Linked DNA regions of Ovis aries. The protein of the gene in region 2 purifies or fractionates together with the protein of the main gene of each other region. This does not show direct contact. Links are inferred from orthologs where the notes say so. Each region holds a gene or a part of one and is shown on either strand. Other genes may lie near its edges.

Evidence for each region.
Region 1: the proteins of JOSD2 (region 2) and AHCYL2 purify together in Homo sapiens (affinity purification with mass spectrometry; 3 studies listed by BioGRID and IntAct, counting the BioPlex papers as one, with this or other methods). This does not show direct contact. The link is inferred for Ovis aries from reciprocal best matches to the Homo sapiens genes JOSD2 and AHCYL2.
Region 3: the proteins of JOSD2 (region 2) and AHCYL1 purify together in Homo sapiens (affinity purification with mass spectrometry; 4 studies listed by BioGRID and IntAct, counting the BioPlex papers as one, with this or other methods). This does not show direct contact. The link is inferred for Ovis aries from reciprocal best matches to the Homo sapiens genes JOSD2 and AHCYL1.

What each region holds. Positions count from the first base shown.
Region 1 is NC_056057.1:94,835,958-94,840,137, forward strand, and holds the start of AHCYL2 (adenosylhomocysteinase 3), read left to right. Parts: upstream 1-1,334; 5' UTR 1,335-1,368; coding exon 1,369-1,731; intron 1,732-4,180. UniProt on the Homo sapiens protein: May regulate the electrogenic sodium/bicarbonate cotransporter SLC4A4 activity and Mg(2+)-sensitivity. On the contrary of its homolog AHCYL1, does not regulate ITPR1 sensitivity to inositol 1,4,5-trisphosphate.
Region 2 is NC_056067.1:56,372,129-56,376,499, forward strand, and holds the start of JOSD2 (josephin-2), read right to left. Parts: upstream 2,927-4,371; 5' UTR 2,807-2,926; intron 2,193-2,806; exon of another isoform or gene 2,190-2,192; 5' UTR 2,176-2,189; coding exon 2,030-2,175; intron 547-2,029; coding exon 421-546; intron 1-420. Other genes in the region: ASPDH (aspartate dehydrogenase domain-containing protein), read right to left, coding at 3,424-3,467, 3,909-4,063, 4,133-4,353. UniProt on the Homo sapiens protein: Cleaves 'Lys-63'-linked poly-ubiquitin chains, and with lesser efficiency 'Lys-48'-linked poly-ubiquitin chains (in vitro). May act as a deubiquitinating enzyme.
Region 3 is NC_056054.1:87,291,437-87,295,751, forward strand, and holds the start of AHCYL1 (S-adenosylhomocysteine hydrolase-like protein 1), read left to right. Parts: upstream 1-1,469; 5' UTR 1,470-1,746; coding exon 1,747-1,869; intron 1,870-4,315. UniProt on the Homo sapiens protein: Multifaceted cellular regulator which coordinates several essential cellular functions including regulation of epithelial HCO3(-) and fluid secretion, mRNA processing and DNA replication.

The sequences.
Region 1 (4,180 bases), on a different chromosome or scaffold from region 2:
ACATGTGACCACAAGTATGTGTACCCTAGACACCTTGGAACCAGAAGGTTGAGATTCCCCAGACATCCAGACATCATCCAACCAATCAGAATAGTCACACATTGGCAGCCCTCACCCCAAATTTTGTTTGACATCTGGGTTTGGGTTTTCTTGAGCACTAGCTCCCTCTTGTGCCTGGCACTCTGTAATAAACCTTTCTGTGCTCCCAACTCTGACATTTTGGTTTATTTTACCTCTTTGTGCCACTGGCATGCAAACTTAGGTTGGACATCTATGAGAATTCACAGAATGGAAATTCCCTGGTGGTTGGGTGGTTAGGACTCACTACTTTCACTGCTGAAGGCCCCGGGTTCAATTCCTGAACTAAGATCCTACAAGCTGAATGGAGGGGCAAAGAGAAAAAGGAGAAGAAAGAAAAAGAGAATTAACAGGGCAAAAGAATTAAGCTTAAGGCAACGTGTAATTCTTTTGTCGTTGTTGTTTAGTCGTTAAGTGGTGTCTGACTCTTTAGCCTAAAAATTTCCTACCTAGTAATATCGAACTTCTATTTTTTTGGACTGATAGTAAACTCTAAGCCCAGAATGTTCTAGAAATCACCACAGCACATAAGGTCTTATTTTATTCTTTCTAAAAACAAAGCCATTAAAGTTCAGAAAGGTGTTAGGGTTCCCTTTCACTGAGGCAGAAAAATCAAGTCACTTTCAGCCTGAGGCCTGCGCTCTCCCCACGTGATGCCGCTTTTCCTTTAAACGCCTGCTTACGTGATCTTAGACTAGCACACGGGGAGGAAATGTACACTGTCAGGGTAGAGAGCCCTTTCTTCCCCCACCTTCGCAGGCGGAGGGTTTCTAGCGTTGTCTCCTCGGAAGCCCCAGTTCCTCTGGAGACTCTTTCTCATGTCCTTTGTCGTGTCACCCGTTCTCACTCCTTTCCGTTAGTCGCCTGGACTAGAGCTCCACTAGTACTACAGAATCCCGCTAGCCGGAAGGCGACAGGGACTACAATTCCCAGGGGGCATCACGGCCCCGCCCTCGGCAGCGCGCAGTGCTGGTCGGGGGCTGAGGTCCCACGGTGTTGTCGCCGCGTGCGGCCCTGAACAAGCGCACTACAGGTTCCGTGGCACCACGCGCGGGAGCTAGCCGGGTCGGGCGGGGCGGGTCGGGTTGCGCGGGGCGGGGCGGGGCGGGGCGGGGTGGGGAGGGAGAGGCCGGGCTGGCTGGAGAGTTGGCGGGCGGGCAGAGGAAGGGGGTGGGAGCGGAGGCGATGGAGGGGAGGAGTGGGGGAATGGGGGAGGGAAGGGGAAGGGAGGCGGGAGGCGGGGCCGAGCCGGAGCTAGAGTCTGAGCCGGCGGTTGCAGTGGAGGCGGTGATGTCGGTGCAGGTCGTGTCAGCAGCTGCTGCCGCGAAGGTGCCTGAGGTGGAGCTGAAGGACCTGAGCCCCTCCGAGGCGGAGCCGCAGCTGGGACTGAGCACAGCGGCCGGGAGCGCCATGGCCCCCCCAGCGGGCGGCGGGGACCCTGAAGCTCCAGCTCCGGCCGCGGAGCGGCCCCCGGCCCCCGGTCCGGGATCCGGGCCCGCAGCGGCTCTCAGCCCGGCCGCTGGGAAAGTGCCTCAGGCGTCGGCCATGAAGCGGAGCGACCCTCATCACCAGCATCAGAGGCACCGCGACGGCGGCGAAGCCCTGGTCAGCCCCGACGGCACCGTCACCGAGGCGCCGCGCACAGTCAAGAAGGTATTGGGGCCGGGCTGCCTCTTTCGGAGAGGGAGGGAGGTGGGGAACCGCAGATCCTCTCGGCGCGGCGGCACCACTCTCCACGCCCTCCCTTCTGATGCTGGAAGTAGAGACATCTCTTTTCCCCTTAAACCCGCTCTCTCAGAGATGCCCCCACACGGGCCCCAGTGCTGGGGGGCGAAGACTCCAGGTGGTACGGCCGTACTTCGCTGGGAATAACATGGAGGTAGCGCCCTTCCTTACTACTTGGAATAGGCTGGGAGAGGAGAGGCACCTCGTATTACACCTTTCTGTACTCCTAACCTACTCCCGTGTGTATTTTCCAGACTGTCGGGGAGAAGACCCCGATGGTGTAGAAAAGCTTTACTGCTTCTGAGAGTTCACCCAGTAATAAGGGTTGAAAGAGCTTTTCCGTTTGGACATCTTTTCTGTAAGGAGTAGTTACCTCGCGTTGAGATCCTCAGTTGTCTGGTTTCTGTACAGAAGATGACTCTCTGCCTTTCTGTGGCCAGGCGCTTCCATCTAGCAGTACTGATGCCGTGCCCTTCATTCCACATACTGCAAGATCCTTAGGTTTTCTCTGAAAGTAGAAGGGTAATAGGGTAATGGAGAGATTCACTCCACTCTTCTCTTTGAGGTTTGTCCTCTCAGCTCAGTAGTTGATCACCAGGATTGTTAGACTGTGTATAAAGAGAATGATTGTTTTTATTGGTTCTTTTATTATGGTCCGTAAGTATTAGGAAGAAATGCTTCTACTTTTGGGAAAGGCGATCACTGTCAGATTTTGCTAAGCTGCCAGCTTCTTTCAGATAGTTTTGAAGAGGCAGTAGTCTCAGAACACCAAGGAGTAGATAGATGTGCCTGAATGTTTGATATTCTCAGTATTATCCTTGCAATGGCTGTCTGTGGTGTCTGTCCTCTCAGAAAGCAAATCAGTACAGAGAAAAATGGCAAATATTGCAAAAACAAGTTGTGGATTATCGCTATAATTTCTGAGGTAGTATGCGAACATAGTGATATACTGGGTTTTTCGTTTTGTGAATGATTTATCAGAAAAGCAAGAAAGTGATGTGAAATCTGCACTGTGCAGGACTCAGCTGAGTTGAAACCTTGTATCCAGCCTAACTTTTGATTGTAATAGCCCCCTTATTAAGGTGTAAATCAGAAAACTCTTGCATTCTAATTACTAAAATATAGTGATAAGGTCAGAAGCAAGACTAAAGGAATTTGTTTAATGATGCTTTAGGACAGTGTCTTTCTTGTTTGCATAATGAAACTCCTCTGGGCAGAATTATTGGGGGAAAGAGACGTAGCATGGGCACCATGGCTTCCCTTGTGGCTCAGCTGGTAAAGAATCTGCCTGTAATGCGGGAGACCCTGATACAATTCCTGGGTCGGGAAGATACCATGGAGAAGGGATAGGCTTCCCACTCCAGTATTCTTGGGCGTCCCTGGTGGCTCAGCCGGTAAAGAATACACTTGTGATGCGGAAGACTTGGGTTCAATCCCTGGGCTGGGAAGATCCCCCAGAGAAGAAAACAGCTACCCACCCCAGTATCTTGGCCTGGAGAATTCCATGGACTATACAGTCCATGGGGTCGCAAAGAGATGGACATAACTGAGTGACTTTAATACATTCAAACACACATGAGCACCAAAGCTGGTAGTACCTAGATATGAGTCTGGAAATCTGAAACATTTGTAATAGTTGAGTTGCTTTATAACTTTGGCCAAATTCTGTGATTAAGGGTCTTTTTGTGTAAAATGTACAGATTAAGTCTCGAGTATAATAGTGTTCAACAAATTGCCTTTATTTATTTGACCTTGCCATGCAGCTTGTGAGATCTTTAGTTTACCAGGAATTGAATGCTGGGTCCTAGCAGTGAAAGCTCAGAGTTCTAACCACTGGACTGTCAAGGAGTTCCCCAACAAATGGCCTCTAGAACATGGGATTTACCGTCCAGCAGACCTGGGTTTGAATCCTAGTACCCCTATGAGCTAGCTTTTGGGTAATTTCTAAATTCTCTGAGTCTTAGTTGTCTCTTTTACAAAATGAGGTTGAAGCTTAGAAATATTTGTAGAGGACTTACTGTTGAACTTGGCACATATAATAAGGGCTTAAATTATTGCCATTGATAAGAGTTGATTTTATTTTTTTCTTCCTCCAATCATGGTTTAAGTGCACCACCATGGCTTCCTTTAAAAGATATATACAATTCAATGGCTTCTATGTAAAGCAGTGAACAACACGACAGGCCAGCATATCAGCCTGTTTTTCCTAATGCTAGATGTGTTTCTTGACCATTTTCCTTGTTGCTGAACCACCTTCTTCCTGTTTTTCCAGCATTAAAATGTGGGTCCCATGATTCTAGATTTACTCAGCAGCCTCAAGGCTGTGAGAGACAGGGCTGAGCTTGCCTTACAATGTTAATTGCAACCAAAAAACAGC
Region 2 (4,371 bases):
GGAACATTCCATGAACAGAGGAGCCTGGCGGGCTACAGTCCATGGGGTCAGAGTTGGACACGGCTGAGTGACTGAGCACGTCACACATACCAATGATCCATCCTTTATCTATCACTCACTCAACCACCCATCCATTCATATAGCCCATCACCCATCCTACCCATTCACCATCCACTTACCCATCAATCTGCCAATCATCCATCCATCAGCTCACACCCTGACCGTCCCTTTATCACCTCCCGAGCCCTCAGTGGGCCAGCCACCCGTCATCCATCGCTGCAAACCCTCCACCCATCTGCCCCTTCCTTCCTCCTTCCCATCCACCCGTCCCCTCCCTCTGCTTCGTCCCCCACCGGCCACCGTCCCACCACACCCACCGCGCCCAGCTCAGCATGCCTGACGAAGCATTACGGCCCGCACCTCCTTCGGTCCCACCACACGGCAGCCAGGCCCTGCCCCTGCAGGGCAGCCATGATCACGTTGACGTCATAGTTGCCGGTGCCCAGGAGGCTGCGATGGGGGTTCAGCCGGGAGTCTGGGGCCAACCTGAGTGGGAGGTGATCAGGGCCTCCTGAGTTGGGGGTTCCTGAGAAGGCATCCCCCTCCCTCACAGAGCCAAAGCGTCCCAGGATCCATGAGTCATCCAGCCATGGATTCTTCCCTCTCTTCAACCCTTTGCCGACTCATCACCCCCAGCCATGTTCCTCCTGTCCCCCACCCACAGTTCTGCTCAGGCCTTGCCCTCCTCCTCCTGGACCCTCACCAGCTTCCAATCTCACCCCTCCTGGGGGCTCCTTCTACACCCAGCACTGCCCCTGCCCCAGCCGTCCCTGGCACCCCCGTCACCCCAGGAGAGAACCCCAGCCCCCAGCTGTCCCTGGCAGGATCTGGGCCCTGCTGGCTTCCTGGATCCATGCCCACCCCATTCCTCGCAGCCACCTGACCCAGCGCATCTCCTGTGCTCCTGCCCCCCGCCTTCTCTCCAGCTGTCCCCCAGCCCACTTGTCTCTGGGCCCCGCCTCCTTGAGACAAAGGCAACTTTGTTCTGTCTCCGGGCCTTTGGGGGGCAAGGCAAGGGGAGGGGCGGGAGAGGGGGAAAGTTGTGTATTCTTCCTCTGTGTATCTGTTTCCCTGGCTTCCCTTAGGGCAGGGGCTCACAGTAGACTCATCTCGGAGTCTCCAGCAAGGCCGAGCCATGAAAGAGTTGATTGATTCCTGTTCTGAATGATGGGAGGGGGTGAATACATTCTAAAATAATCAGTCTGAGGGCCTGGGACTGGCCTGAGGATGGCAGGGGTGGAGGCATGGGAGGGCTGTGAGCAAGAGATGGGGAGAAAGGGTCATCTGGGGGCATAGGATCACATGGGGGACTGACTGGAGGGGAGAGACTGGAGGCTGAGGGGAGGGTCCAGAAGGCAGTGGGGCCAGAGAGGAGCAGCTCAGGCAGAGAGATAACAAAGAAGTGATGTTTGAAATCCTGAATAGTGAGGCGGCACACTCCAGGCTGCCAAGAAGAGAGAGCCGTGCCAGGCAGAAAGAACAGCCTGTGCAAAGGCCCAGAGGCACCATGTGGGGCTCATTCAGAGACTAGAGGGAATTTGTCTGGAAGCAAGCAGTGAGATACGAAGCTGCAGAGACGGGTGGGGCCACGGCACACAGGGTTTTGGTTATCAGGCTGGGCGCGGAGCCTTGGGGCTTCTGCCAGGGGTGCTGGGGGAGCCCTGGGAGTGGGGGAGGGCAGGTGCAGTGCGGGAGCCCTGTGTAGCCGGGACTGAAGGAGATAAACCAGAAGCTGGGAGGCGGGAAGAGAGTGAGGCTGAGGGCCTAGGTAAAAGGCTGAGGTCAGCGGGGTGAGTAGATGCCTGGGTAACATCTCGGTTTCTGAGTCCCGGAGTCCAGCAGGGCAGGGGATGGGGCAGCAGAAAGCCGCAGGGCTCTGCCCCGGGCCTTGCTTTGCTCTGAGACCCAGGTGGGTGTCCCCGCCTCCGTGAGCCCTGCTTCTCCAGGGGTTGGGGTGGGTGATGGTCACCTCTTGCAGATCTCATCGGCAGCCTCCTGGCTGAAGAGCTGCTGCTGCAGGACGTTGTTGAGGGCATGCACGGCACAGAGCTCCAGGCGTTGCCGTTCGTGGTACACGGAGGGCGGGCTTGGCTGAGCTCCTGGGGCCTGGGACATGCCGTCCTCGGCTCCTGCTTGGAGGGGTAGGGGGAGAAGGTGCTTAGGAGTCTGGGATCTGGAAGCCGAACCTGCCAGCAGGCCCTCGGGGGCACCGTCATTGAGTGGGGGCTCGGGCAGCCTGAGGGGCCCCTGACTCTGGCGATCTCCTGGCAACAGAGTACCTCCATTCCCTATTTCTAGGAAAAAAGCTCTCTCTTCTCTCGCTTAGCAACAGAGGACCACTCCCCCCGCCCCGGCCCCCGCCACATCCCTAAGTGAATGGGTCCCTGTGGTGGTCACCTAGCAACAGAGAACTCCCCTCCCCTGTCCCTAGGTTAACAGGCCTCCTCTCTGGTTACTTAGCAACAGAGGAGCCTCCTCGTACCCCTCCTCGCCCCCTACTAGGTAACCAGGCTCTCCTCTGGTTACTTAGCAATAGAAGAAGCCTCCTCCCCGTCTCTAGGTAACAGGGTCTCTTCTGGTCGCCTAGCAACAGAAGGCTCCCCCCTGTCACCAACCAACAGAGTTCTCTCCTCTTGTCACCTGGCAACAGGGCCCTCTCCCCGGACACCGAGTAACAGAGCTGTCTCCCCGACCTGTACCCCAACCATGGCGCTCGCCCGCTCCGCGGCCTGGAAATGCCCCTCACCCCGCCTGCCTCTCTGTTCCCCCAAACCGGGGGCTCCCGCATCCCCCCGGGCGGCGGCTCCGGGCTCCGAGAGCGCTGGACGGGCGGCACCGCGCTGACTGGGCAGGTGGGACGGACTACAGCTCCCGGCGGCCCCCGCGAGCCGGACTACGATTCCCGGCGACTCCGGCGAGAACGAGAGCTCCTCACGGAACGTCCGGGCAGTGTGGCCCGGAAGTCCGCTGTCGCCCCGAGAAGCCGGGACTACAACTTCCGTCGGCCCTTCGACGAGTCCCGGAAATGTGCCCTAAATCGGTCCTCTCCTCACAGTTCCACGCCTCCTGCTGCTCGGAAGCTTCTGGGAAACGTAGTGAGGAGGCTCTCGCGATAGCTTCGAGGGGTGTTACTTCCCTGTACGTCCGTTCCCTGGGCTGGCGTCATGCCTAGCGTGACGACGCAGCGTGACGTCACGGAAGGGAAAGTGATCAGACAACCAGACCACGCAGGGAGAAGAGCGTCCAATGTTTACTGAGACCAGAGGGATGTATGGGGACACTGAGGCCAGGGCAGCAGTGGGTCGGTGGTGGTGGGAGGTAAATAATGAGATGAGGAAGTCCTCTTGGGAAGGGGGAGGCTTCTCAGCAGAGATGGATCCCCGGCTTGGAGGGGAGCTGGCAGCACCCTGCGGGGGAGATACGGGGAATGAAAGGCTAAGACAGAGAGATGAGGAGAGACAGACACCTGGAAGAAGGAACAGGCCACCGTGGGGACGGAGAAAGACTTAGAGGGAGGGACTGAGACTCAGAAGGGAACAGAGACCCAGAGAGGGGGGCCAAAACCTAGAGGAAGAGGGATAGACACCTGGCGGGTGGAGAGACTCACGTATGTGCTAGAGTCCCCAAGAGACAGGGACACAGAGGCTGGGAGAGGAGACTTGGAGAGAGAGAGAGAGAGAGGGATCTATAAAGACAACGTCGTGGAGAAGAAGGTTAAGGAGACTCAGAAATAAAGATCAGTCGACAGAGACGGAATCAGAACTGCAGACTCAGAAAGCCTGAGACTCAAGCTCCGCCTGGGGCTTGCAGAGAGGGGCTGCTAGTGCCCAGGAGGAGCCTGGCCGTACCCACGAGGCTGCGCCAGAAGGTGGTGACGGTGGCAGAGCCGGTGACAGCGCCTGGCTCTGCGGGGTTCTCTCTGTGCGTGTGCACAGTGAAGGTTTGGCCTGTGGGGCCCGGGGGTCCGCTCAGCTCCACATCCACCACGTGCACGTTCTTGAGGCTAGGGCAAGCAGGGTGGTCAGTCTAGCTGGCCTGGCCCCAGCGCAGACCCCTACTCAGCTCCGCTCACCTGAAGTCAGCCACAAGCACCCCAATCACACGGTCGAAGCCCAGGCTGGGGGCGGCCAGGGCAGCGGCCGCCATGGTGTTGGAGTTTCGGGGGGCGTGGGGGCAGAGCCCGCGAACAGGGCCTTCATAGAGCACAGCGCGAGGCCCCGTGCTGCGCATCGTAGCCAGGGGTCCCTCGAGCCGGAAGCCATCGGGGTGTGTGGCCATGGTGACACGGAGGCTCTGAAAGTGAGAGCTGGG
Region 3 (4,315 bases), on a different chromosome or scaffold from region 2:
TCCTCGGAGAGTCTCCCCAACAGGGCTGGCATTGCAGAGAAGAGCAGGAAGGAGGCGAGAAGAGGGAAACAGGGAATTGAGGGAAGTAGGAGAAAGGCCCACCAGGGGAGCCAGTGCCCAGAGCCACAGAGGTACAGCCTGCAGTCTTGCTCCGGGTGTCCCCGCAGGGCCAGCAGGGCAGACCAGCAATCCGAAGCCGTGTTCCCAGGGCACCTTTCACATCACTTACTATACCTATGGTGCCTCCCAGGGTTGCACAATCAGGCACCTCTGGGACAGAAGGAAGATGGCTAAAGTGGGGCCAGTACCACAGGAGGTGAAGGGGCCCTAGGGAGAGCACAGCCCTGCTCTGGAGTGTGCCAGGCCAGCAGGGAGCAGGCAGGTGTGAAGGGTGCCACCCTAGGATTGCTGGGGCCTCTGGGATATGCGTGCACTGCACACAAATTTAAAACTCAAACAGCTCAAGTTCACTCCTTATCTCAGCAGTCTCTCCACCTGACCTGCTTCTCCTCCTCGCGTTCATCACCACCCACCCACAGCTCACCAGGCTCCGCAGGATCTTGCTCTCACAGCGGCTCTCATTCCACCCAGCCCTGCCCCTATGCCCCACCCACACTGAAATCTTTACAGTTCTCCTAATATGCCAGGGTGCCTCAGGGCCCTGCCTTTTCTCAGGCTATTCCTTCAGCCTGAGATACCTTCTCTGGCTTATCCAGCTGCTTATCTGTCAAGAGTCAGCTGGAGCAGCATCTTCTGTATAAAGCCTTTCCTGCTCACCCTCCCATCCTCCACCCACCATCACTCCCAGGTAGGGATCGGCACTTCACTTGTCTCTGTGGTCCCAGCATCTAGTACTGCTCTGAGCACATCTTCAGCAGTCATGGTGTGCCTGTGTCAGCTGCTCAGTAGTGCCTGACACTTTGTGACTCCATGGACTGTAGCCCACCAGGCTCCTCCGTCCATGGGATTCTCCAAGCAAGAATGCTGGAGTGGGTAGCTATTTCCTTCTCCAGGGAATCTTCCCAACCCAGGGATCGAACCAGGGTCTCCTGCATTGCAGGCAGATTCTTTACCATCTGAGCCACCAGAGAAGCCCAGCATTCACTGTAGATTTTATGAATTTAAAAAAAATGAATGCACATGGAGTGTAATTTAGGGGGGTAGACAGAAGAATGAATTTGAGTAAGCAATCCCAGCCCACCTGTGGTGGGCCACCATGCTTGTGGTGACAGCATCTCCTAGTTCACCTCTCTCTCCTCAGACTGCTCCTTTCTAGAGCATGCCCCCCCTCTGATTTCTACACCCTTTGGAGACTACTTCCCTCCACCACACACAAGTGTACCTGTCCTTGGGTCCCTGCTGTCCTCAAACCTGGGGTCCCCATAGCATCTGCCGTGTCTGTGTGGGTGGTGCAGTTCAGGGGAGTAAGCCCTGACTCACCCACCTGACTCAGCATAGAGGCTCAGTGCAGAGAGCTGGGTGGGTAGGCTGGTAGCCAGACCCAGGGCCAGGTTGGGTAGGATGTTTATTTGTTTCATGCATAAGCAGTCACAGCCATGGCCTTGTGGGGCCCTCTGGGGGAGGGAGGAGGGAGCGTGCAACGGCTCTCACCAGCGTCATGTCATCACACTCTAACTGGGTGAATGCTTTGATCTGCAGCCCATACCCAGCGGGTGGGATGGCAACTGCCCATGTCCTCTGCAGAGGGCTGGTTTCCAGGAATGCCCTTGGTGGCTCTCGCCTGACATGAGCCACCTAGGCCTACTGCCTTTCCACCCGGGCAAGGCGTGCTGGGTCCCCACCTTCAGTGCAAGCACTCTGACTCGCCTCAGCCAGCCTCCCCAGCCTCCCTTTGGGCCGGACACTCGGGTAAGTGAAGTCACGTCTGTTGATCTTCCTGTGGCTCAGACTGCAAAGTTACTGCTTTCTCTAGGTCTGGCCCTGTTGTCACCATTGTCCACAGCAGGAGCAGGCAATTCTGTGAGTCTAGTATCAGAGAAAACCTGTTACTTTGGTTCAGGCGGAATAAAAGAGAGGCTGAACTCCAGTCCCCAGCCAGCTCTTTAGCAGCCTGAACATTAACATGCATGGCAGAGCTGGGGCTGACAGACAAAGCCAAAAGACACCTATGCTTTTTTCTTTTTTTTTTTTTCAAATAAGCTAACCTAAGTCACATGCTTTCCTATTCATGGGATATGGAGTTTTCACCTCTGTTCTAGCTGGCTCTGTCTCTGTTCTCTAAGGAGACAGCTCTGATCCCTGGACGCTGCCAACAGTTTGGGCAAACTCACACGATGAAAGCTACTTCAGGCCATATAGGCAAAGAGTCCTGGGTGGGCAGGCATAGCTCCTGGCCCCAGCTGAGAAATAAGAAAAAGTGCCAGTCTGGCACCCTTATGGATCAATCTCGTATTCTGCTCCCCAATCTCTTTCTCTCTTCTGCTACACGAATACTTCTGAGAGGGAAGTCGAGGGGCCTGAAAGAGTGGGCATAGGCGGGATTTCCCTGGTGGTCCAGTGGTTAAGACTCTGTGCTGTCACTGTAGGGGGCTTGAGTTTGATTCCTACTCAGGGAACTAAGATCCTACAGGCGGGATGGCGCAGCCGGAAAGAAAAAAATGTATTTACACCATCTGAAACTAACAGAACATTGTAAATCAACTACATTTGAATTTAAATTTTTTTTAATTAAAAAGAGTGGGCAGAGGAGAGAACCCTAAAATGAAGATTTGCAGAAGTGCCTCCTTCCAGACACTTCCACAACCTATTTCAAACAGGCAGCCTTGCAGAAGTGCCTCCTTCCAGACACTTCCACAACCTATTTCAAACAGGCAGCCTCAAGGGGCTGGGCGGCTGGAACATGGGATTCTCTGACTAAGACTTCTGAGGCCCCAGAAGCAAGCATTTCACACTCTTCCCAACATTTTGTAAACCAGTGGGGAAAACGTTACTTCAAGCCACAACTTCTTTCTTCAGAGTTGAGCTGCCGGGTCTCTGAGGTGGGAGGAAGAAGGTGGGATGGGAGGAATTTAGGAAAAGGGCCCTGGGAAGTCTTGAACACTCAGCAGAGTGGAGAGGGATCTGGCTTCCCAGTCAATCATAGAGGGAAGGGTGAGGCGGAGGGATGGGAAGGGAGGAACAGGAGGAAGGGGGATGAGACAGGCAATGGACTAGGGAGCTTTGTGGGGTGGTGGGGCTAATGAGAAGTCCCGGGTGACGAGATGGCCAAAATAACTTTTCAGAACATTTCAGAAATGTGACTTCAAATTGTTTGTGATGTGATGTAACCTCTCCCTTGTGGCCCACAAAACTTCATTAAAAGTTCTGCTACATGTTACAGCATTATTTTTGTGGTTGTTTTGGAATAGGGGTGGGAGTTGAAAGAAGGGACTGTTATCCACATTTGAATTGACAAGCAGGAACTAAAGAAACAGCCACAAAGACCAGAATAGTGACTAAAACTTCAGACGAGGCAGAAAACTAGAGCCAGAGGTAACCTTGAAAATTTCTGTCCCCCGAGTAATTCACAGAAATCGGGGAGGGGGGAGCATTGGACTTTCCACAGGACGTGGAAGTTTGAGCCAATGTCATTTGAATGTCAAAGGACAAGCAACCTCAGCTGACACTGCCTCACCAGCTGGACTAAGCCTTTAGAAACAAAAAACGTGTTACACACATCTGTACTATCCACGGCCTTGGCACAGGGGTAGCACATAGCCAGGCCCAGTAAAAGCATGTGAATAGTTCATGAATGCCCTAGTGCCTCCCTGGAAGCTGGCAGAGCCAAACGCTTGGGGGTGGGGGGATGGAGGGACACGTCGACTTCTCTTCCCCTCCCCCACCCCTTTTCCTCTCCCACCCTCTTAACCATCTTTAGCCCTATCCCATCAGCTCCGCGACATGAAGAACCTGTAAACAAGCAAGGCCCAGCGGAGACGGTGGTGGAGGAGGTCACAAAGTGTTGCGCAGAAACCACACTGCTCTGGTTCTGTTCTGCCCACTCTTACGGTGTCAAAGAGGCAAACGCTGCCTCTTGGGAAGGAGATTCTGGTTCAAAGAGCCTGACCATGGGGCAGTGAGCTAGTGGGCTACCTAGGGCGCCGGAAGCTTCCTAGGACTGGCTGTAGGCTGTGTTGTGTAAGGCTTTGGTACTCGTTCCCAAGCATCCCTACACCCTTCTGAGGCCTCCCCTGGCATCCCGCAGTCCAAAGGCCCTCCAGCACCGCGGCAACCTTGCAGAAACCGCGGGCTGCTCGCAAGGTAATGGCGCCACCTGGCGGCATACAAGGGTGCGGCTCACCCCTGGAGCTTCCCC